Rattus norvegicus: one gene and its partners. The protein of the gene in region 4 interacts with the protein of the main gene of each other region in a pairwise test. Links are inferred from orthologs where the notes say so. Each region holds a gene or a part of one and is shown on either strand. Other genes may lie near its edges. The genes, in order: Zdhhc17, Otx1, Hsd3b7, Spry2, Ubash3a and Prkab2.

Region 1 (4,174 bases), on a different chromosome or scaffold from region 4:
ATGTCTAGTAGTGAAAGTGGAAAGATGACCTTACCAGAGTGCCTAAAATGTGTTCATTCGTGAATTCTGACTTACATTCCCATATGGTTAAACACAGTCTGGAAATATCGATATTGTCTGAAGAACAAACAGAAACTTTAAGACGTTTTTTCTTCCTTTAATTACTGAGGATTCCAAATTAGAATCCAGCACTAGGGATGAGGTGCTAGCAACACGGTTTGCCTAGTATGCACGAAGCTTTGGGTTCACTCCCCAGCACTGCATAGACAGGAAGTTACGGCACATAGCTGATCCACCGTATGAGAATTAGAAAGTCAAGGTCATTTTTGGATACAAAGGGAGTTGAAGGCTACAAGACACCATTCCTGGAAGAGGAAAAAGGAAAAAAGCAGGAAGAGATTGAGATCAAACAGAAGTAGCATCAGAATGGTAATCCCCATCAGTCGGACACAAAAGCCTATGTGCTCCATTAGCTCCTTAATGGACCATTAGTTAAGTATCACCACCACCACCACCACTACCACCACCATCACCACCCCAATTTCACAAAACTCTAGACAAACAGCCTGTCCTGTTCTGCTCCTAACACACTGTAAGGAATGAAGCACTACTAGATCTACAGCAGGTGCAAGAAACTAACCACAGAAAATAATAACAATTGCAATCAGTCCCCAAAGTTACAGAACTTAAAACTTACTAGACCTAGTGCTTACTTGGTAAAAGAAATCTATATCTTATCAATTTCATCTGAGAACAATGGGGAAGCTGATTTTCTAATAACATACCATCTGTTAAACAACAAACTCATGGTACCTAAACTTCAAGCTCTCTATTACACCAAGCAATCTCTAGATTATTATTAGGTTAAAAAAGTGTTTTGAGACACAGTGTCACTATGCAGTCCTGGCTGGCCTGGAACTTGCTAAGTGGATTAGTCTGACTTCGAACTTAGGGACATTCCTGACTCCCAAATACTGGATGTGAATTACCACACCCTGCAAAATTATGTTTAGGGTAACGACATACACTTTTACAAAGAGGAAAGGAAAGTTTTGTTTTTTTTTTTTGGTTTTGTGTGTGTGTGTGTGTGTGTGTGTGTGTGTGTATAGTTTGGTCTCATTGAGCCCCAAGCTGGCCTCCAATTCATACTATCAAAGAGCTTTGAACTCCTAATCCGACTGCCACTGAATGTCACAGTACATTAAAATACATAAAAAACTTTAAGTGCTTGAAATATACCCACAGAACAGATGAACAGAAATATTCCTTAACCACAAATACAACATAACATCAGAAAAGTTCCTGGACCTATTTCTAGGGACTAGGTGTAAACCAAAAGAAATCTCTAATGCCAATTCTACGTTTGTTAACACTTTAATTTTTCAAAAAGTTTCGTCTTACTACATAGCTGTGTCAGAAACCCAAAATATCCTTTTCTAACGAGACTTGTCCTGGCATATATTTCTAAGAAACTGTCTCATTTTGTGTAAGTATAGATAATGTGTATATGTGTATATATTTATGTGTGTAGTATATTTGTATGCATCTATGTGTGTATGTATATATGTATGTGTGTATATATATGATCAAGTTATGAAATAACGGAGTATTAATACGAAAGTGGTCCTTGTTATTCACAATATATAAAAAGAAAAATAAAGGAAGATGCAAAAGCCATAAAGAAATAAAACCAATCTAACGCAAAGTAACCACGTTTGTTCACCCTGTAGTGAACACCACGGGTATGTACACAACTCTCAATCTCAAAACAAGACCAGAGTTCTGCAGGAAACTGCGCTACTCTTTCCTGCCCTCCCCGCACCTCACATAGAACCGTACGGTTAAAAAACCTGGATGCACAAAGAATTGCTTCCAGGCCTTAACTAAACACAAACTCAAAGCTGGGAGGTAAACAACTGCAGAACGTGACTGATCCCGCACAGAAAACTGCTCACTTTCATGAGAAGATACAAAAGAAACGGTGGGAAACGTGTTGCGCTGTCTACCCTTCCCAATAGTCCCAAAACAGCGTTACTTTGTGACACGCTAATGTGTGCGTGGGTTTATTCCCGAAAGTTCTGACCCACTCTCTTTTCTTATGGCTTAAAGGCAAACACTCATACATCAAAATTCGCCGTCACCAGCGGCGAGCTGGTTGCTATGCCATATCCTGGAAGGACATCACTTTGCCCAAGAAACTACTATCCCCCAGGTACGGGTGAACTAATGGGAAGGGTAGTGTCATTCACCACCAAGAAAGAGGGGAAGAGGGGAAGAAAATCAAAAGCAGATAGGCTTCTTCTTCTCCCTGAAGAGGCTTGGAGCGAGACCAGGGACTTCAGCCGAGGTTCCAAAGTGTCAGGAGGCCTCCGTCGCCTCTGCACCCGCAGGCAACGCAGCAACAAAACAGAACCATCGCCATCCCCACCTCTGTCCTCCAGGCACCGCCAGGGACGGCGTCCCAGAGCCCGCCCCGGCCGGGCCCGCCCCGCTATCTCCTCCCCCGTTATCCGCTCGCCGCCGCGCTCGGGCCTGGACTCGCTTCTTCAGCCTCCCCGGGTCCCGCACAGGTCACCGCGCGGACGCATCAGCCACCGCCCCGGGCGAGGCTGGGGAAGCGAAGCCGCTGGGCCGCAGGGCCGGGAAGGCGCTCGGCGCGGTCCCTCACCTCCGGGTGGAGAAGGGGCACACAGCCCGTTTCGGTATCGTACTCATCCGGGCCGTCCGCCATCTTGGTGTTAAATCCCTCCTCCCGCTGCATGCTGGGAGAAAGCGTTTCAGCCTCGCGGGGCTCGGCAAGGCGGAGGGCGAGCGCTAGGGCGAGCGCGAGCCCGGATGAGGGCGACGCGGCCCGCCGCCTCCTCCTCCTCCTCCTCCCCCGAACCCCCGGACGCCCCCTCAGCCCCTCCCGCCGCGGAGGGCGCGGGTCTCGATGCGCGTGCGCCGAGCGGGAGTGTGCTCTCTGCTGCACTGCGCCGGGGCAGCGGACCGCGCTGGGCGTGGGCGCCGCGGCCCGGGGGCGGGTCCCGGTCGGAAGCAGATGCTGCTCTGCTCCGGCTACCAGGGCAAGGCTGCGCTCGGGTCAGCACCGAGATCCCGCGCCGCATAGGGCAGGGTCGGGACCCGGCCGAGGGCTTAGGGTGTGACCCCGGAGACCAAGGATGCGTTCTCGCCTCGGTGCCTGTGCCTTGGGGATACCCGGAGAAGCAAGGACAAAAAGTGGCTTCCTGGAAAAGCTTTTGTTATGTGATGCCCTCTTGCAGTTGAGCTAGGACATTTTTAAATCATCGTTTTGACAAGGTCAAAGCCCCACACGGTTCCATCTGCTGCATTTTAATAGAACTCTGGAATTCTAAAGTGAAACCTTTTAAAATGAAAGCTCTAGAGTGTGACCTAGATAAAAATGATTAAAGCCGTCTTTAAGAGGATTTTAGGGTTGGGAGGGGACTGATAGAACAATTGTAGAAAGGATTTTCTGGTTTTGGCTACTAGGGATTGTAAATCTCGACGGAGCCTGTGCACATTTAGCAGAGAGCGATTGTCACACAGGACTGATTAGAGATTCTGCTAGTAACCCTCTCAAAACCAAATCAGCTAAAGATCACCGGGGTGGGGGTGGGGGGACGGGGGTAACCTGCAGTCGGACGAAACCAGATTTGATAGTAAATCGGAAGACATAACAAGGGAAAAAAGAATAGGGGGATGGAAGAGGAAACCCTTTTGTAAGGTTTGTGTTCCCGCCAAAAGAATCTGAGGAGGGTCTAGGGAAAGCCGAGATCCGTTCTGGATTGGACATCATCGATTCTAAAGAGGTGAGGAAAAGCCGGGAGTAACAAGGCATTGGACAAGATCCTGAAGCTAGGACAATTCAGTACTGGGCTCTCCCAGTAACGAATGAAAATGGCAAAGTAGACCTAGTAATCGTCGGTAAAAAGGCAGTATTCACTCGGAAAAGGATGAATATGCTATTTTATAGCTGCTTCCTTCTGGTGGGGGGGAAAAGAAGTGATCTCTGTTCTCTTTGGAGCTGGCTGTATCTGTGTGTATCCTCTCAGCACAGCTTTTCCTTCCGGCACGGACCGATTTTCTTCTCTTTTTCTTTCTTTTTCTTTTTTCGTCCTGGCAGAAACCAGAAACCATGCAAACCTAAACAGAATTTCTAGTTCTCCGTTTA
Region 2 (4,076 bases), on a different chromosome or scaffold from region 4:
CTCTTTAACTAGGGAGAAAGAACTGCTTCTCAGGGAAACTAGACCTAAGGAAAATTTGGCTGTTGGGGCCTAGCGAAAGCCCAGATTCCGCATGAAATATTGGAACGAGGGAAGGAATTTTTTGTAAAAAAAAAAAAATTAGAAAAAGCAACCGAGGGAAATAAATTGAGGGAGGGGTGCGGGGAGAACATGCCCTCCTTAGCAAGCGGACACAAGAGGACCCAGGTCGCAGACTCCACAGAGCAAAAGTTGTAGGCTGCAGTTTCTAAGCTCTCTGAGCAGACCTTGGCTCCAGATCTGCCTGTAACAGATCTAGGCAACAGGCAGCGTGCTAATCACCCTCCTGGGTCTGTCGGGGGACAGCGTGGGCTCAAACTTTAGGGGATGGAACCCCCAATATTTCCAGAGGCTTGGGGGGTAGGGACAGAGGGCCACTGCTCACCAGGGTAGCCCACGGAAGGGTGCAGGAGGTCCATGGCAGGGCCAGCTAGGCCCAGCCCGTTCATGCCGTATGGGGGTTGTTTGAGGTAAGACATCATGCTAACAGCCGGGTGGAGGCGCCCCGACGGATCCAGGGGGCCTGAGGCCAGGAGCAGTTCAGGGCTCCCACTGCGACGTCCTTCAAGCTGTTGCTTCTTGGGGCCTGGCCTAGGGAGACAGGAGACACATGGAAACCTTCACCCGTAGTCAGTTTGGCTTTCAGCTCCTATAATCCTTGAATGGGGAGGGGGCGCATGCTAGGAACTGCACAGCAGGCAACCCGAGAGAAATGTCTCCTCCTTTAGCTCGGCAGCCACACAGCTTCTCAAGAAAGTAAACTTTCCCCGCTTCGTTCCTTCCTCTTTTAGGGCTTGACAAGGGCCAAAGACACTCCTCGAGTGTCAACAGGAAGGAAAGTTAAAGCGTGATCAGGCTGAGGAGGTGAGAGCCGAGACCGCGAAGGGTGCAAAATCCCAAGTGTAGTCAAATTTTTTTAGTGCGGCGGAAGCAATTTGCTCAAGCAAATGTTCATTTGGCGCCGAGAGGGCAGGCCGCACAGAGAGATACGGGGTTATTTCGTTTAGTTTGAAATGTTTTTTTTTTTTTTTTTGAAAGAGGGACAAAATGGCAAAGCAATACAGAGGCCCAAGGTGGGTACACCTCGGATCCCCGAGGCTCACTGGCCATGTCATTTCTTCAAAGATCTTCAGGGCTGCCTCCTACCCAGAGCCTGCAATCACCTTTCTAGCTGACCTCTCTGGGTCCCTGACGCCAAGAGAGATGAACATGAATCCCACCGCACCTCCAGGGCAGATGCGGCCCAGGCCAGGATAAGGCGGCAACAAGACTCCAAAGGAGCCACGGTAGAAGTGGCAGTTTCAGGACGCCGCTCAAGGTCAGGGGTACCTCCAAGACGGTCACCCCTCTTCCTTTGCTGGCGCAGGCCGGGCCTTCCTTCTACCAAGTCTGCTGAGCACACCGCGTCCCACCGGGGTTTGATAAAAGATGATCAACCCAGTGCCCCAAACATGCTAGGGATTTCGGAAGGCCGAGCGTTGCAGGTCGCCTCTCTCCCGCCGTCCTCTCTGAACCCGATGGAGAGCAAGGAACTAGGCCTCAGGTTGTAAAACTCACTCACAGCCAACCTGGGAGCGCGAGGCTCGGCGCAGACACTGCGAGCCCACACAGCTCTCCCCCAGCAAAAAAAAGGGGGGGTGGTGGCTTCTGGGGGTTACGACTGGGACCGCCGTGGGGAGGGGGGCTCGTAGCTACTTCCCGCTCTGCCAGGACCCAAGGGTGGGAGATTCTGGGGAGAAAGGAAGGTAGGACTAAAGCAGCTCCCCCTTCACAACTCCTTCCCCCACGCTTCAGTCCTAGGGGACCCGAAGCCTGGACTGAGGGGGCCCAGTGAGCATGGGAGGCGAAGGGAAGGGAAGGACCCGAGGCGCTTGGGCGGAAGGGCCACAGGCCCGCAGCCGCCGCGGCTCTGTCCGGCTGCGGCGTGAGTTTTCGAGTACTTTCGTCTAACTTAGCACCCCGGCTCCGCAGCTTCGGAGGAGGCGGGGGAGGGGGCGGCCGGCTCCCGCGCGGCTTGGGGTCCCTCGGGCTGCCTAGGGGCGCCTGGTCTCTCACCCCAGCCCCGCCCACCTGCAGGGGACCGCGGTAGCGAGGGTGGATTCCAGGAGGGGGAGGCGAGAGGGGCCACCATCGTCCCGGGTGGCGCGCGGCCCCGCGACTCCCTCCTTACCTGCCCTCGGCTGCCGCGGCTCTTCACCATCTACCTCGCGCCCTCACCGAGACCCGCGGGCAGCCAACCTGCAAAACGGAGGCGCACAGGTGTTACCCCGGCGGCGGGGCTAGGACCCCAGGTTTTCCTCTTCCCCAACTTCCCTCTTCCCGTCTCCTGCATTTTTTTTTCCCAGTAGCTCTGTGCGTGTCCCTCCGGGTTTCACTTTATTGCACAAACACTTTGTTTGCAAAGTCCCACATGCTTTTCCTCCCAAGACCCGGCCTCGCCCGGGACCCGGGGGGTGGGGTGGGTGGGTGGGGGTGTTCGAGGGACAGAGTTAGGAGGTGGCTTGAGGTGGCAGCTGCACTCTCGGTGCAACCCGGAGGCGGTAGGGATTGGAGAAATCCTGCATAGTCACTTGGCAAACTAAATAAATCAAGCAATTTACCTTGTCGGAGTGGCTTGTCTTGCTCGGTTGTTTAGGTGATTGGAAATGTAGCCTGATGAAGATTGATCACCTTTCTACTGCCCTCCCCGAGTATGTGAACGCGAGGCGAGTGCGTAACGGGGCCCGGCCGCCAATAGGGGGCCTAGAGCGGACTGAGTGACAGGAAGCCGGGCAATGGCAGCGCGAGCCGGGGTTACCTCCGCGCGCCCCCGCCCTCCCTCGCTCCCACCCCCTCCCTCCCCGCGCGCCGGCCCCGCCCCGGTCGCGCGCTAACTCCGGAGCTCGGGTGGCAAATTCCGCTCAGAAGGAGTCGAGGAGGGTGAAGGCAGCGCTGGAGTCGCAGGCGCAGAGGGGGCCCCGGGTCCCAAGGCTCGCCCGAGGGCCCCCACCCTCCCCTCGCCCGGGCCGCGCTCCGGAGGAGTGGCGTCAAGCTGCTGGATAACCGGTTCCTGCTCGCGCGCGCGCGCCGCCGGGCTCTGCCGCCGCTCTGTGGGCGCCAGGCTTCCCGGGCCGCGGATTCGGGGCGTGCTGGCCCCTGGCACTCCTAGCTGCGCCCTGGGCCCCAGTGCTTCCTCCGTTCCCCACAACCTGCGGCCACCGCGGGCGGCTCGTGCGGGCTCGGGCTGCTGAGCCGGAGCCTGGGATGGGGTGCAGCTCTCGGCGCTCAGGGCGCCCCGGGGCGCCCTGGGACTCTGGCGCCCAGAAAGAGCGCCGGCTGGGGAGACGCCGCCACTTCCCAGCTGCTCAGCGTCTCCAGGGGCTCTCAGGCAGTCCCCACCAAAGGTGTTCGCACGTCCTAAAAGCTTGCTTCTTCGGAACCGTTGGAACTCAGATCTTACACACACACACACACACACACACACACACACACACACACACACACACACACACACACACACACACACACACACACTGAATGGGTTTGATAGAAAACTTTCTTTTTCACACTCTCCACTCTCTCAGTCTCTCCAGGTCTGCACCTACAAAGGACAGTCCGGTGGGAAATGTGGCCACACACTCCGATCCCCCTCACTTCATTTTCTACACATTCCTGGAGGAGCCTCCTCGAAATAATTTCCCCGGATTGTTCGTACTGGCGGACCCCAGGTTCCAGCCGAATAAACTTGCCGAGATCGTCTACCTGTGTGTACTTTCCAAAGCGAGAGGAAAGAATATTTTCGGCCCAACCCCGAACAAGGCAATTCTTTCTTTCTTTCTTTCTTTCTTTCTTTCTTTCTTTCTTTCTTTCTTTCTTTCTTTCTTTCTTTCTTTTTTTTTTTTTAAAGCATGGCATCTCCTACTGACTACTAGGGACCACATTCACACCCTTTCCTAGTCCTTTCTCCTCATCTTCTGCCACTTTCACCCCAACAGGCGGGTGAAAAGTTTGAACCACAGTGTGTGCGTGGGTGAGTTCGG
Region 3 (4,225 bases), on a different chromosome or scaffold from region 4:
CAGTTTTTGCCAACTAGCTGGCAGGCCCGAGTTGGCACCAAAGATAGGCCTGCACCCAGACTCTGTCCTAGAACTTGGAGACTGGGATATGAACCAGGCACAGACGTGGCAGGGTCCATAGCACAGTCCTGATGTGTCTAGCAGAGTCAGCAGCTTCAAAAGGTAGCCATTTCTCTCCGTCCAGGCTTTTGGGGGCTCAGGACCTGGAGTGTGCCACAGTGGTCTCCAGTTCCTGGCCCTGCCATCACCAGGCGGAACCCTCCATGGCCTGCACCCAGTGAATGGTGCGGGCCCTGCTCTCTTCCCATGAGAAGAGGGGCTTGTAGCCGAAATGGCGCTGTGCCTTGTTGGTGCTGACAGTAAAGGTGGTGTTGGCCACAGCCAGAGTGTAGGGATTCAGCAGGGGTGTGTACAGCACCAGCGGCCGAAGCAGCCACTGCAGCAGAGCGTTGAGGGCAGCCAGCAGCACCAGTAGCCAGTAGGGCAGCAGTGGGTGGGTGCCTATCAGCCGAAGTCCACAGGGACTCAGAAACTCCATGTTGAAGTCCTCGTAGCTTTTATAAGGTGACTTATCATAGCAGAAATACACCTGGCCACCCATGAGTGCTGCCCGCTGCTCCAGCTCTCGGGCCACCAGTATATGCATCCAAGCCACATTGCCTACCAGTAGGGAAGGAGGGAGAGAAGCTGGCCTTGGTCCAGTCCTCTAGTCTGCCCCATGTAGATTTTGCCCACACCTCTCTAGAGTCAAGGTTGCCTCTTTCCAAGGCCCTGTAGCCATAGCCCTCCTGGGTGTCCTGAAGCTACTTGGTTCCCATGTAGATGCTACCCCTTTCCCAGCGGAGCTGTTGCTCCCATTGCTTCAGTGTTTGGCAGAACCTAGGACATGTTTTTATGTCGGCCCTCCCGACTGCTGTGGATACTTTTTCCTTTACAACTCATGCAGAAAATGCCCACATGCCCACCGTCTGCCTGAGTCACTGTCTGCCTGCCCTCGTGGGGCCAGGCATACACTCGTGCCTCTGCCGCCTTCAGAGCCAGTCCTCTCGCCCTGCCTTCCCCTTGCCTTTCCCTGTCCTTACCAACGTAGACCCGACCATGCTCCACGGAAGCTGGGATGGCCCGAAACAGCCGACCTCCAAAGCGCAGTCCCTGGTGATAGAAGTCTCTCATGACCTGATGACCTTCACCATAAATGCCCGTGGGTCGAAGGGCACATGTCACCAGGGGTAGCCCTCCATTGACCTGGTGGCAGAGGGAGATGTTGGAAGATGTGCCCACCCTCCCCACTATGGCTGGAGATGGGTGCAAAGCAGCCTGGGAGTCGGGCTCTGCCTCTGCACCCCAGTCTTTGCTGTGTACCTTCCTTCCATTGGCCTCGAGGACCAACTGCTCAGCGAGGGCCTTGCTACATGGGTAGGGATGCCTGTGGATGGCCTCATATGGGGTGTCTTCATTGCCCCTAGAGTGGGGGAGAGAAAAGATCAGTGCTGGAGGGAAAAGGGGGCTCTGAGATTACGTGGGGCTAAGCTCACCTGTAGAAGGGGTGGCCCTTGACATTAGGCCCTACCACTTCCATGCTACTCGTGTAGACCAGGAGCCGAGTCCCGGTCTGCACACAAGCGTCAATCACATTCTGTGTGCCTGTGAAGGGAAGGGTCAGATGCAAGCTGTGTCTTCCTGCCTCTTGATTTCCTTCCACCCCACCCAGTGTCCAAGGGGAACCACCTCAGGTCAGGACAGGGTGGGACAGCAATGAATGGACAAGGTTATCAAAAGGACAGGCAGGTCCTTGCATAAAAATCACTGGCCAGAGTCAGGCCACACACTGGGGATTAACAGGTAGGTAGCACCTCACCCTGCACATTGACTTTGTGGATGGTCTCTGGACTGGCCTTCCCAAACACATCTACCAGCCCAGCTGTATGGATGACCACATGAGATCCAGCCATGGCTGCTGCCACCTCGTGGGCCTGAGTCACATCCCCCTGGATGGCAGTCACCTGCACAGGCCCTGGTGGAGAGATGCGAGGCAGTGTCAGGGCTGGAGTCTTAGCCAGCTGCTGAGTTTGGCCTGCATATACCCTGGGAGCCACGTGAACCAATGACTCACCCTGTGTGGGGTGGAGAACAAACACAGAAATCATCTTTTCCACAAGCTGAGGTATCCCAGTTTGGGAAGGGATGGGACCTCCCTCCTCCTCACTGCCTCACTCCAGTCACCTGTTTTCAGCTCCTCCAGCCAAGAACTCAGGTGCAGGTCAAAGACACGCAGCTCCCGGAGCCTGGGCTCCCACTCCAGCAGCATTCGAACAATATGCTCCCCCAGGAAGCCACAGCCACCTGTGACCAGGTATACCAGTGCTGGCACCTGTGCAGAGTCTGCCATGGCCAGCTGTGGGAAGAGAATTTAGCTCACTAGAATTGCCTGCCCAGCTGCTCCACTGTTCCTAGAAGAGAGCTATTAGGTGGGAGCAGTGGGTGGGTGGAGAGGCTGAGCAGTAGCTGTGGGTTCGTTTCCTGTGCTTGTAGCACTAAGGCTCCCTGCCCTCTGACCCTAACTGCTGAGTCACTAGAATTGGACACAGAAAGGGATTAGGGACTGAGACAGATGGAAAAAATGACTAGATAGGCAAAGATAGCAAGGATAGGCAGAGAAAGCAAGGAGTTGGACAGGGAGGTTGGAAGGGTTCAGAACAAGTAAGAGAAGAGCCAGCCGGGCCTCAGTACCACCTCTGCCTACCTGTAGGAAGTCCCAGGGCGCCCAAACTGGCCACTGGGAGATGTTGTGTCCTGGACTGGTGGACCAGCTAGATGCACACAGGCTTCCTTCCTTCCGCTCGCTCCTCCCTCCTGGCTCATTCCAGGAAGGAGACCAGCCAGCCTCCACCCCTAGGGGCGGGCAAGGCAGTTTGGAGGGAATTCTCTTGCCAGAGTGCCCCCTGGTGGCCAGTCCACCCTCCAGGGGCACCTGCCCACTTGGTAATGTGAAGTATTTAGGGATAGTGGGGTAGAGCAGACAGGGTACCTCATCACTGCTATGTAACCTTGGTCCTTCCCTCCTGTGGGTTTCCCAATAGAACCACCCGCTGTGGTTCTGGGGAGGAAGAGTGAGGTAAACCTGATCTTATATAACTCTGGCTGGCGTCCATGGTGATAGTGGCATGGTTGTTGCAGCCTATTAGGTGGTTGGTCCAGAGCAGCACTGTGTCTGCAGGTTGATTCACCCAAACTCCAGGCCATCATTTTTCCTCTCTTTGCTTCACCCAGTGTCAACTTGCATCCCCCAATCTGCTCTTCCCAAAGATACTGACCAGGCATTTTTGTACAATAAAGTTTAATCACAATTATAAAAATGTGGTGTTGGGTTTCACTATTAACACTATGTACAGTCCAGCCCAACAAGAAGGGCCTGCCCCCCACCATCCTGGCCTACTGAGCCAGAGCCCTGAGACACCAGGGTGGGAGGGTGACCCACAGGGTCTGGCAGGAACAGATGAGGCAGGGTTCCAGGCACAGAGTTCCCAGGACTAGGGGCCAAAGGCCCCCCCAGGGGGAGAACATGGCCACTGCCCCAGAGACCCCTAAACTGGGGAGGGGTGCACATAGGGCAGAAGGGGAAGTCCCCATTAACATGAAGCAAAGGGCTATGCAGCCCCCAAGAATAGCATCTATACAGGCTGGTACCCCAGGTTTCCACAGGAAACAGCTGCTGGCAGCTACAAAACATTTACAGCTTCTTCTTCGCAAAGAAAAAAAAATTAAGAGGGCGGTTGGGCATGGGGTATAGGGAAGGCAGAAGTTAACCTCAAAGGACTGAGGCTCCCTTGCTGGACTCAGGGCTCCCTATCCCACATGTGGAGGTGGGGGCAGTGGGCCCTGCTGAGCCCAATAAGGCTGGGGGTGCTGGGAGCTTAGGGCACCAAGGGGGAATAAATAGGGGTGAGGGCACCGGTCCTGCCCCACCTCAGTTGAGGGAGCCACGGCAGCTTTCAGTGCCACACAGACATGGAATCTTGTTGTCTTCTAGTGGGAACTTGTAGTCATAGGTGATCTCCTCATCCACGCCAATGGGCTGCTTTGAGTAGATCACGATCTTCTTCTGAGACTCAATGGTGATCACCTTAGCATAGCAGTTGGGCTGCAGGAGGGACAGTGTGAGCCACAACCCCACCTCCCCCCTGCCCAGCCCTGCCCAGCCCTGCCCAGCCCTGGCCGGCCCAGC
Region 4 (4,085 bases):
TCTCCTAGGACGACTAGGACATAAAAAGTACATTTCAAGGGCAATTAAGGTGAAATTTTAAATAAGCATGTTAGCACAAAGTTATATAATTAAAATAAATCATTTCGGATCCCACTAGGTAGCACAGGAAAACAAACTCATATAAGACCACAACTCGTGAACCAAACATCCTACAAGACCCAAAGCCTATGCATGCCTTAGGTTCTGAACCACAAGTCATTCTCTTGTTTTACAAATAAAGCATGCAAAAAATAAATTATTTCCTCGTGTTGAAAAATACCCGAGAGCACCAAGCAAGTAGCAGCAACAAGAAAAGTTTTAGAAATCTGAAGTGTTACAGTGGAAACCTATGATCTTGTCAAGTGAACTTAAAAATTACAGTCATGCTTCGGTCTAGGAAGTACCATCCCATCCCCTCACCCGAGTCCACATGAAAATACAAAGGGAAAGATGCAAAACCGGATTTTTAATCCAACCTCTGCTTTTTGGAAAAGGACAGCGAACAAGGCAGGTGACAAACCAGGCAGAGCTGAAAACCGGATCTGCTCACCTCCAACAGCAAGGTACACAAGGCTGTTCTTCGCTTTCAACCCAACCCGTTTATCGGCTCTATCAGCGCCCCCACACAGTCCCCAGCAGGTGGGACTCAGCCAGAACCCCGGGGGACTTTTCTCCAAGCCGACTGATGCGGTCCAAGGGCCAGACCGGCCCCTCCCGTGTACAATCCGCAGAAGCTCAGGCAGGCAGGGGGCGCGGGCGCCTCCGAAGGGGACGTGTCATGCAAGGCACGAGCACACTTCCCCCTCCTCCACCCCCGCGGCTAAAATTTCCCCCAACCCAAGAGGAACTGCCATCCAGCCCCAAGAGGGGGAGCCACTCTTAACACGCCCACCCCCGCTGCAAGGTCACCACAAGGTGTTTCAGCGAAGGCCCTCAAAACGCCTGTCCTCACAAGTTTCCAAATCCGACGCCCTGAGGAAGAGAGCCTGGCTCAGGACGCACAGCTTGCACGGAGGTCTTATAGACCCACGCTCCCAGGGCGACTCCACGGTGCAATGACCGGAGCGGGCACTGTCTGCAATCTGCACACGCCTACCTCTTTTTAGATCAGGAATAAGACATGATTCTTAAAACGAAAGAAAAATAGCTTTATCCAGAGCCAGACTGCACACGCCAGGCATGCAGAACTCTGAGCCCCCGGACTGGAAACTTTCCGTGAGGACCTGATTGCTAGGGAAAGTAGCATCTTCGGAAGAAAAAAAAAGTGATTTCTACAGATCCCTGGCCGCCTCCATCGCAGGCGCCCCCCTTCCACCCTTCTGCGCTCTCCCAGTTCCTCTCCCTCCCCCTTTGAGAGTGCTTTGAAACCCCCATTAAGAACAGTGTGTGATCAGACTAAGGATTAGGGGGAAAGGACTTCAGCACTAGGGTGGGGCAAACCGACACAGAAACCCCTTTGTAAAAAAGGCGTTAAGACTCCAAATCTTAAAAACAGTAACACAAAAGAGGGAGGGGGGAACTAGCCTTTTTATTTTGCCACCTACTTTCAGGTAATGGAAACCGACCGCGACCACTTGATAACTCTCTTCCTGTCTAGGTCAGCCTAAGTGTCCAAATATATTTAAAAAAAAAAAAAAGCGTGACCTAGGCCGACCACGAAGAACGGAAAAAAAGAGAAAGCTGCACTTCCGAACCGCAGAGACGCGGCGCCAGGCTGGGCGACGCTCCCACCCGCACCGGGCTAGACTGTCCACACCGGGCAGAGGCGGGGACTCCCTCCGCTTGGCACTCTACCCTCTGCTCGCCCGCCGGGCTTCGGCCCCGGTGAGGTGGAGAGGTGAGAAGCCCAGTACCCCAACCCCACAGGCGCCCCCGCCGCAGGCTAGCTCTCCTATAACTTAGCCTCCACCGAATGGAAGAACAGGTTAGCAATGCCAGAGCCTGCAACAGCGACCTGGAAAACACAAAGTGTTTTCCCTCCCTCTAAGGCTCTCGGCGACTGAATCGTCGCCAATGCAGGGGTAGGAGTAGAACGCAGTGAAGCGGTCCAACGCCCCAAACCCCGCAAGAGAGTGAGCTGTCGCGGGACGGGGGACACTGCACCGGCGCACCCTGTAGCCCGGCCGTGGCCGAACCCCTGTTCTAGGCGAAGCAGATCCGCGGGATAGCTTCCTGATCCTCCCGGGAAGCCTGCGGGTTTAGGGGGAGAGAGGAACCCGGACCCCACTCCCGGCCGGCTGTGGTTCCAGAAGGGGAAAAGCCAAATGCTCCTCACCGTGATCGCGGCTTTGCACCAACCCCTCTCCCTTGGATTCTCTTCTTCCAGCGATGTGCAAATAAATCCAGTCCCGATGCAAACTTTTTCCTTCTCTCCAAACTCTGCTTCAGTCCAACTTCCAAGCAGTCGGTGGGAGGATTAAAACCACGGGAAAATTTGGAAGCCAAATCCTCCACCGTTGGAACCCTCCCGGATTCCGAGCTAGAGAGATGACCTCCGTTCCAGAAGCGCACGCGGAGTATTTCCTCTGCCTTTTTTTTTTCTTTCCCTTTTTTTTTCTCAATGAACAAGAGGCCGAAGCGCCAACGTTGGCGAGTCTCTCTTTTTTTTTTCCTGGTCGATGAGAGAAAGCGAGGCGAGCACGGCCTTACAAAGAACCTAAGGCCAGCTCGCCAAGTCCTGGGGGCCCGGGGCTGCTTCCGAGCGGAGGCAGGCGCGGGGCCGCGGGCCGGGCCGGGCGCGCGCGGGGGCCTGGGCGCTGCGCGCTCCGCCGGCCCCTCTCCTCCGCTGGCGCTGCGGCGCGCAGCTCTCGCTCGTGCAGACTGGGCGTTGCGGAGGCGCGGCGGCGAAGCCGAGGCGGGGGTGGGGGTGCGGAGGGGGAGGAGGAGGCGGCGGGGGAGGAGGGTCTGGGGCCCGGCCGGGGATGGGGGGCGGGCGGGGGGGCGCCGCTGGCCTGCGCCCTCGCCTTTCCGGAGGAGGCAGGGAGCTTTGCAGCGGCCGCGGCAGCAGTAAATGGCGTCATGTGGATCCGAGGCGGAACAGAGCAGTTGTTGTCCCAGAGGATATATCGCATCCGGTCCCAGCTCATTGGCTCCGCGGGGCTACATTCACTCGCACTCCAGCGCCCGCCAGCGCTCCGAGCCGCAGGAGGCATTCAAAAGGGCAACCGCGCCGCCCCGCGCGTCCCCAGTCGCTCCTGCAGCCCGGGCGCCGTCACGCGGGGCCGCGCTGGCCGCCGCGAGGTCAGTTTATCTAGTTTCAAGGAAACACTGACCTTAAGGGTTTCCCCCCCAGAGGCCACGAGCCGCGGGCTGGGGCTCACTTAGGGAACTTTCTTCCTCGCCGCCGGGAGAGGAGAAGGAGGGACGTTGCAAACTAACCCGGCCGCACAGCCTTAGCGTGGAAAGCCGAGCTGCAGCTTTTTGGATTCGATTTGGAATCCATTTCGGTTCTACCTCTTCTCTCCTGTGTTTCCCCCACCCCACCCCCCACCGATGCCCAGGGGGCGAAGAGGGTGGGGGTGGGAGCAGGAGGGGGAGGGAAAGGGGAGCGGGAAGTGAGGTGGGAGGGCTATTGGTTTATTCTTTGTCTACTGGATTAACCCGATTATACACCGGGCACCAGCACAGCCCGCCTCCCCCACCTCCGAGCCTTGTACGGGAGGAACGGAATGTAGATTCGGGTTTCAAGTCCCTTCTGCTCTGACTGGGATTGGCTTTTGATTGTGTGTGGACTTGTAGTTTGTTAGAATTTCATTTTTAAGAGGGGTTATCTATAGATGGAGGCCTTTTGAAGATTTTTTTTGTATTGTTTTGCTCGATGCAAAAAACCTTTTAAATTAATTCTGTAATACCCACGCGATTACTCAGGGCGACATCATGGACTTCCGAAATGGGGGGGGGGTCTGTTTCCCTACAGAAGTCCTCCTTCGCGAAACCATAAATAAAAAGAGCGTCATCTTTCAAATCCCACTATCTGTCACCTAGAACATTCTCATATATGTTCCTCCTGTTCTTGTTGGAAGCGGACTATAGTTAACTATTTAAAATACAGAAAATACATACGCTCTGGCCGTGGCTGGACTAAG
Region 5 (3,151 bases), on a different chromosome or scaffold from region 4:
GGAGACTCAGGAGGTGAGTGGGTGGAGGTTCCTTCTATCTGTCAGTACCCACCCCTCCTAGCACCCCCTCCCATCCCCACAGAGGAAGGCAGGACCACACAAGGTCTAGCCTTCTCTTCTTACTCAAACAATGTCTCCTGACTCCTCATAGGACCTTTGTTGTGCTCTTAGAGCTGCAGAGGATGAGCTATGGGCTAGCACTGAACAAACCTTGAAACTTCCTGACATCGCTGACTGCAAAGAACCGGGGAGACTGCCACTCGGGTGTTAGGGTGACAGGCTTACCCCACAGCTCCTGCAGGTATGCTCTCCATGGGAGCAGGTGGGCACATTCACGTAGTCCTGCCAGCCCTCGGTTTGATGGGCACGTCATTCTTTAAAACGCTTGCTTTACTTGGAAGTTAAAGGGGCAGGGATTGGGGATTTAGCTCAGTGGTAGAGCGCTTGCCTAGCAAGCGCAAGGCCCTGGGTTCAGTCACCAGCTCCGAAAAAAAAAAAAAAAAAAAGAAAAAAAAGAAAAGGAAGTTAAAGGGGCATAAAAAGAGGGACACATACCTTTCTTACCAGTTGGGCAAAATCCCCACATTCTCTGGGTGGGAGCCCAAGGAGTGGCCTCGTGCAGGAGTCGAGCGCTGAGCTATGGCTCACAATGAGGGTGATGCCCACTGTTGACAAAACACCTCAAGGTCAGAGCAGGCCCAGGGAGCCCTTTGCAACCTATAAGTCTCTTCAAAGTCTTGAGGGTCCCGCTACTGTGCCCTGGTGAGATGGTGGGGTGAGTATGGGTAGGAAGAGCAGTCATTTGCTATGGCTTAGAGCACACCACCTTGTCACACGGGGCCCGGGGCTAGGATGTGGTGACTGTGTGACAGCTTCAAGGATGGCGTAAGGATGATGATGATCTGAGTCGCTGTCCTTGTGGATGGCTGCCTAGGTCCTGTCAGTCACAGGCGGAGTGTGTGATGGCTGCCGCCAAGACCCGAGCCAATCACTTTATCTGGCTTATCACGGTGAGCCTGAGATGCTGCCTGCTTTTAGATAAGGGTTAGCAGGACCTGGGGAGATGCCTCAGGTGACATGATGGGCTCCAGACAGCTGGAGAGTGGTGTGGGACCTGGCACCTCTGTGTGTGCCTCATGCTGGATAAAGGAAAGCTGGGAGAGATGGTGGTTGATGGTGTGAAGTGGGAGAGCTGGGAGCATGGCTGGCCGATGGTTAGGGCAGGTGGGCTGTGGCTATGCCTCCTTTTCCTTAGGCCTTGGCTACCCCTCTGTCATACTGGGCTTCTCTTTTCCCATAGTTTGTGATGACCCTGATGGTCTAGGTCCATTCATGCTCAGCATGAGAGCAAGCAAGCCTGGTGTGATGATTTGTATATGCTTGGCCCAGGGAGTGGCACTATTAGAAGGTGTGGCCCTGTTGGGGTGGGTGTGGCCCTGTTGGGGTGGGTGTGGCCCTGTTGGGGTGGGCGTGGCCCTGCTGGAGTAGGTGTGTCACTGTGGGTGTGGACTTTAAGACCCTCATCCTAGCTGCCTGGAAGCCAGTCTTCTCCTAGCAGCCTTCAGATGAAGACGTAGAACTCTCAGCTCCTTCTGCACCGTGCCTGCCTGGATGCTGCCATGCTCCCACCTTCATGATAAATGGACTGAACCTCTGAACCTGTAAGCCAGCCCCAATTAAATGTCGTTCTTATAAGACTCGCTTTGGTCATGGTATCTGCTCACAGCAGTAAAACCCTAAGATATCATAGGATATGTGTGCGTGCATCCACACTCTGTCATGGTGGAGATGACATACTGTCTTGGCCAGAGTATGGGGGTTGGGAAGTGGGGACGCTAACAGCCCAGAATCAGCTAATCCCATCCTAGGGAAGCCCGAGGCTGTCCTCCTCAAGCTTGTGGGACACTCACTGTCCTGTGGGCATGTGTTGATGATCTGCCCCATGCTCACGGCACACCTCTCCACGTACTGGTCATAGCTCTCGGCTGGCAAGAGGGAGCAGCAGGGGAATGCTGGCCTGAAAGAGGATGGAGAGAGAGAGAGAGACATGGGCTGCTGTTCTGCAGCCTTCTGGTGAACAAGAGTGTGCTGGAGCAGCCAAGTGGGGCCATGATCCTCCAGACGGCCTGCTGGGCACGGCTCATGGGTTCCCAGCCAGCAGGGGCTCCTGGAAGTGTTCCACACTGGCCAAGGGAACCACCAGCATGGAGGATGGCCAAACAGGAAAGCCGTACATCTCAGCCCACCTGGAGACAGTCACCCGGTGGGAAAGACAAAGATACTCCCCTTCACAAACCAGAGTGAGGACCCTCTTCTGGGTGAGGTCCCTGTGTTCATCCCCTTTTTTTAGCAGGAATACCCCATCTTCTATATGTGGTCAGTTTCCCCAACCTCCATCACCTCTAGCCGCCTTCACCAGGAGTCTTTTTTTTTTTTTTTTTTTTTTGGTTCTTTTTTCCGGAGCTGGGGACCGAACCCAGGGCCTTGCGCTTCCTAGGTAAGGGCTCTGCCACTGAGCTAAATCCCCAGCCCCTTTCACCAGGAGTCTTGACGGTTTGGTTGAGCAAAACCGTAACCCTCAAGCCATTTCCCATTCCCCTGATCCTGCTGGTACTATATACACAGCCCAGTCTGCCTTACTCCCCCACCTCACGGCTCTACCTCGGTAGATAGATTTTCTTTAACAAGGACCGGAGAAGCCTCGGTGGCCGAGATTTGCAAGACCCATACCTATAGTCGAGGTCAACATTGAAGTCTGCTTCTTTCAGCTCCTCCAAGGTCAAGAAGGTCAGAGTGGCCTTGCCGGCTTCCCACTTCATCCACTCGAAGATTCCGGGCTCAACTTTTATCTTCAGCCTCCTCTCCAGTTTGAGCTCTTGGGTCAATGGAAAACAAGTGCGAAGGAGTTACCATCCGCGTTACATAGAGAGGCTTCTTCATAGCTAGACCCGGCACGGTAGTTAGCGTTTTGTTTTTTTTTTTTTTTTTTTTTTTGTCAACTTGACACAAGCTGGAGTTACGCCTGAAAGCCAGAAGAGGGCGCCAGACCCCATGACAGATGGTTGTGAGCCACCATGTGGTTTCTGGGAATTGAACTCAGGACCTCTGGAAGAGCAGCCAGTGCTCTTAACCTCTGAGCCGTCTCTCCAGC
Region 6 (3,500 bases), on a different chromosome or scaffold from region 4:
TGCTTGACCTGGTACCATGCAGTCTTATTTACCAGCCAGTGAAGCCATTCCATAGGAGGGGTGAGTAAACCTTTTCTGTAAAAGGCCAACTAATACACATAATTTAGGGTCATAATCTCCCAGGTCTGCATGGTGGCAGTGAGCTGTAGATGACAGGTACACACGTGCATGGCTGCTTCCAAACGGAAGCTTTGTAAAAGCAGTCTGGCTCACGGCTGCGGTTGGCCCACGCCTGTCCTGAAGGATGGCCTCGGAACCCTATAAATCCCATTAAGTAATGGAACTGCTTTTGCTCAAGGAAGCTGCTTTTGATCTTGTGCTCCTAGAGCTCCAGGATGTCATGTATCGTCCTGAGGTGATTTTATGAACCTGGCCTAAGTAAGCAAGTAAGGTTTCATAACCACTTCAGCTCTACCGGGTCAGTGATGTGGTTTCCGAATTCATGTCGATTGATGGATGATGGTGCTAGAGATGAAACTCAGGGCCTCAGACTCGGTAGGAAAGTGCTCTGCACTGAACTACATCTCCAACCCTTTAAATTTTAATGCCCTATTGTACAACCAAGTAGCTAAACAGCATTGTTAGTTACTTAGGAATTTTGGTATCTCTAACTTTAATTGTAACTGCCAGAGAACTGTTTGCCTCTGAAAAACATGTAGCTGGCTTAATTTTCTTTTAAAGAACCATACTTTCTTCTAGTTCCTTATGAGGTGTTCAGGAGCATATCCTAATTGCCTGCATACAAGCTGAACTGGTAGTCTGAAGGAAGGGTTTTGGGTGATCCAAAGGCTCTCTGAGGAGACTGATGTGAGCCATAGTTCTTTTCTATAGTTTGTTCATTCTCTGATTTAGTTGCTGAATTTGGGCTGTCTCACTTTAGTTGAAGCCTAATTTAATGCCCCTTAAAAACCTTTGGGACATCTTAAAAACCCTTGGGTCATAATTTATTCTAGGGATGACCTACTCCTTCTTACAGCTCCCTGGGGACAAAGAGTTTGTACCCTGGCAGCAGGATTTGGATGATTCTGTGAAGCCCACCCAGCAGGCCCGGCCTACTGTTATCCGCTGGTCTGAAGGGGGCAAGGAGGTCTTCATCTCTGGGTCTTTCAACAATTGGAGCACCAAGATCCCTCTGATTAAGAGGTGAGGACAGGCATTCTGTTGAGTCTGCAGCATGCAGGAATCGGCACCTAATTGCCTTTTTTTTTTTTATAATTTATTTAATTTATGTGAGTACACTGTAGCTGTCTTCAGACACACTAGAAGAGGGCATCGGGTCCCATTATGGCTGTGAGCCACCATATGGTTGCTGGGAATTGAACTCAGGACCTCTGGAAGAGCAGTCAGCACTCTTAACCGCTGAGCCATCTCTCCAGCCCGATTGCCTTTTAAGAAGAGAGAGGGCCTCAGGAGTTTCTAACAGCACTGTGTGTGTGCCATTCAGGACCGTGCTTCTCAAGCCATTTCCTGTCTGGAGGAAGCCTGGAAATCACTAATCCTGTTGCTTTGATTTCTGTATTAAAGTAAAATACATTGTGACATTCTAGGTATAATGCCAGTTATCGCTGACAACACAGTAGTGAATGATGTAAGTGGTTGTCAGAGTGACCCTCTACATAATGGGGTCATTTTCCAGAAAAGACTCACCAAACTATGGAAAGGGTACCCTGAAATATTCCCAACCCAAACCTATCTTTTATGTTAATCATATTTGTGAATACTGCTTTGTGTGTAACGTGTGTTTGTGTGTATGTGTGTACATGTGCATGCATGTACATGCAGACATGTGTACCCATATGTGTGCATGTGAAGGCCACAGTAAGCCCCAAGAATCTTCCTCTGTGGCTTTCAGCCTTGTTGCCTTGAGACAATCTCACTGAACCACAATATCTCCATTTCAACTAGTTTTACTGGTCAGCAGTTGATTGGGGTCTGCCTGTCTCTGCCCTGCCCCCGCCCCCTCCCCCAGTGCTAGAGTTACAGAGGGGTGTGTGTGTGTGTGTACCCATGCCCAGCTTTTTCCATGGATTCACACTCAGGCCCTGAAGCTTACAACAAGCACTCATAGTGGCTGAGCACAACTCCCTAGCTCTAAGAAATCTAAACATTTTGGCAATCACTCCCCTCCCCGCCCCCAACACACACACACACACACACACACACACACACACACACACACACACACACGTGATGGAGAACAGAGTTAGTGGGAGAGGTTGACAAGCACATGTGTTGACTGATACAGAGGCAGAGAATGGATTTGTACCGTGGGGTGAGGTGAGCACAAGGACTGTAGCTTAGGAAGCCTTAGGAGGCCATTGTAGTAGCCCCATCATTTCCTCTTACTTTTTCACACTCTGTCTTCTTAAGGAACTTGGCCTATTTGACCTTCTGTTTTCTTCTCTAGTCATAATGACTTTGTTGCCATCCTGGATCTTCCCGAGGGAGAGCACCAGTACAAGTTCTTTGTGGATGGACAGTGGGTTCATGATCCATCAGAGGTAAGGCCTGGATTTGCAACGGAGCCTCAGTGGCTTCCTTGTGACTCACTACCCTCCAGTTCAGTGGGCAACAGGCTTCCTACTAGGGACTTGTCATAAAAGTAGAGGGGCACTTGGGTGATGATATAGATTTAAAAGGGAATCCAATTTTATTTCATTTATTTATTTGTTTGTTTATTTGTTTGTTTATATTTCTTCACTGTTTCAGCCTGTGGTTACCAGTCAGCTTGGCACAATTAATAATTTGATCCATGTCAAGAAATCTGATTTTGAAGTATTTGATGCTTTAAAGTTAGATTCTATGGAAAGCTCCGAGACATCATGTCGAGGTAATATTATCCTATTGCTTTCTCTTGCTATGTCTTTCTTACAATGCATATTCCTTCCCCAAACTGGTTTCTTGTTTTATTTTGCATTTTCATGTTTTTCTCGGAATCTTATAATCTCACACACACACATGTGTGCACACATGCTTGCACACAAGTCCCATGTGTATAATGTCTGCCTTTCTTACTCTGACACACTGTTCTCCATTTTACCTTTATGTAATCCACCAGTAGTCTGCGGTATCAAATGCTATTTCCAGTAAGATTTCACACTTTCCGTGAGCATCTGGTGATATTACCTGTAGAGGCTAGATGCGTCTAGTTTGTCTTATTAACCTGAATCAGCTAGTTTGGGAGCTCAACTGGCAATTATGATTTTATGAGAGCCTACAACTATAATTGTCACTGAGGGAGTGTGAGAAAAAAAACCAAACCAATAGTTGCTCTATGTAGAATTGAATCTGCAGGGACAGTCCTGGATGTTTTGTTTCATGTGTACTCCTTCCCCCAGGTCTTTCTAAGTGCTTGTTCACTCCGACAGCAGAGGCACATTGTCTTGTTACTGTATGGTGGGAGGTGTGCCTGCCTGGAGAGCTGCACACTTTATCCGCTGAGCAAAGAAAATGAGACAAGGCCCTTGTTTGCAAAGCCTGCCTCTGCTACTAGTCATGCC

What was found.
Region 1: the proteins of Spry2 (region 4) and Zdhhc17 interact in binary tests that used the Homo sapiens proteins (3 or more experiments, as listed by UniProt). The link is inferred for Rattus norvegicus from reciprocal best matches to the Homo sapiens genes SPRY2 and ZDHHC17.
Region 2: the proteins of Spry2 (region 4) and Otx1 interact in binary tests that used the Homo sapiens proteins (3 or more experiments, as listed by UniProt). The two-hybrid records come from large-scale screens. The link is inferred for Rattus norvegicus from reciprocal best matches to the Homo sapiens genes SPRY2 and OTX1.
Region 3: the proteins of Spry2 (region 4) and Hsd3b7 interact in binary tests that used the Homo sapiens proteins (3 or more experiments, as listed by UniProt). The two-hybrid records come from large-scale screens. The link is inferred for Rattus norvegicus from reciprocal best matches to the Homo sapiens genes SPRY2 and HSD3B7.
Region 5: the proteins of Spry2 (region 4) and Ubash3a interact in binary tests that used the Homo sapiens proteins (3 or more experiments, as listed by UniProt). The two-hybrid records come from large-scale screens. The link is inferred for Rattus norvegicus from reciprocal best matches to the Homo sapiens genes SPRY2 and UBASH3A.
Region 6: the proteins of Spry2 (region 4) and Prkab2 interact in binary tests that used the Homo sapiens proteins (3 or more experiments, as listed by UniProt). The link is inferred for Rattus norvegicus from reciprocal best matches to the Homo sapiens genes SPRY2 and PRKAB2.

Annotation. Positions count from the first base shown.
Region 1 is NC_086025.1:48,317,201-48,321,374, forward strand, and holds the start of Zdhhc17 (palmitoyltransferase ZDHHC17), read right to left. Parts: upstream 2,801-4,174; 5' UTR 2,762-2,800; coding exon 2,669-2,761; intron 2,663-2,668; exon of another isoform or gene 1,956-2,662; intron 366-1,955; exon of another isoform or gene 1-365. UniProt on the Homo sapiens protein: Palmitoyltransferase that catalyzes the addition of palmitate onto various protein substrates and is involved in a variety of cellular processes.
Region 2 is NC_086032.1:100,287,622-100,291,697, forward strand, and holds the start of Otx1 (homeobox protein OTX1), read right to left. Parts: upstream 2,801-4,076; 5' UTR 2,658-2,800; intron 2,349-2,657; coding exon of another isoform or gene 2,029-2,348; intron 1,982-2,028; coding exon of another isoform or gene 1,894-1,981; intron 1,566-1,893; exon of another isoform or gene 1,283-1,565; intron 649-1,282; 5' UTR 540-648; coding exon 443-539; intron 1-442. Other genes in the region: collagen alpha-1(III) chain-like, read left to right, coding at 1,894-1,981, 2,029-2,348, 3,206-3,440, 3,621-3,855, 4,032-4,076. UniProt on the Homo sapiens protein: Probably plays a role in the development of the brain and the sense organs. Can bind to the BCD target sequence (BTS): 5'-TCTAATCCC-3'.
Region 3 is NC_086019.1:191,841,263-191,845,487, reverse strand, and holds the start of Hsd3b7 (3 beta-hydroxysteroid dehydrogenase type 7), read right to left. Parts: upstream 2,801-4,225; 5' UTR 2,744-2,800; intron 2,396-2,743; 5' UTR 2,390-2,395; coding exon 2,224-2,389; exon of another isoform or gene 2,148-2,223; coding exon of another isoform or gene 2,114-2,147; intron 2,015-2,113; coding exon 1,859-2,014; intron 1,645-1,858; coding exon 1,536-1,644; intron 1,463-1,535; coding exon 1,363-1,462; intron 1,246-1,362; coding exon 1,083-1,245; intron 661-1,082; coding exon 245-660; 3' UTR 1-244. UniProt on the Homo sapiens protein: The 3-beta-HSD enzymatic system plays a crucial role in the biosynthesis of all classes of hormonal steroids. HSD VII is active against four 7-alpha-hydroxylated sterols. Does not metabolize several different C(19/21) steroids as substrates.
Region 4 is NC_086033.1:89,109,127-89,113,211, forward strand, and holds the start of Spry2 (protein sprouty homolog 2), read right to left. Parts: upstream 2,801-4,085; 5' UTR 2,276-2,800; intron 2,203-2,275; exon of another isoform or gene 1,097-2,202; intron 717-1,096; exon of another isoform or gene 551-716; intron 1-550.
Region 5 is NC_086038.1:9,324,690-9,327,840, reverse strand, and holds part of Ubash3a (ubiquitin-associated and SH3 domain-containing protein A), read right to left. Parts: intron 2,876-3,151; coding exon 2,731-2,875; intron 2,018-2,730; coding exon 1,911-2,017; intron 666-1,910; coding exon 556-665; intron 1-555. UniProt on the Homo sapiens protein: Interferes with CBL-mediated down-regulation and degradation of receptor-type tyrosine kinases. Promotes accumulation of activated target receptors, such as T-cell receptors, EGFR and PDGFRB, on the cell surface.
Region 6 is NC_086020.1:187,949,009-187,952,508, forward strand, and holds part of Prkab2 (5'-AMP-activated protein kinase subunit beta-2), read left to right. Parts: intron 1-953; exon of another isoform or gene 954-955; coding exon of another isoform or gene 956-976; coding exon 977-1,143; intron 1,144-2,407; coding exon 2,408-2,501; intron 2,502-2,709; coding exon 2,710-2,830; intron 2,831-3,500. UniProt on the Homo sapiens protein: Non-catalytic subunit of AMP-activated protein kinase (AMPK), an energy sensor protein kinase that plays a key role in regulating cellular energy metabolism.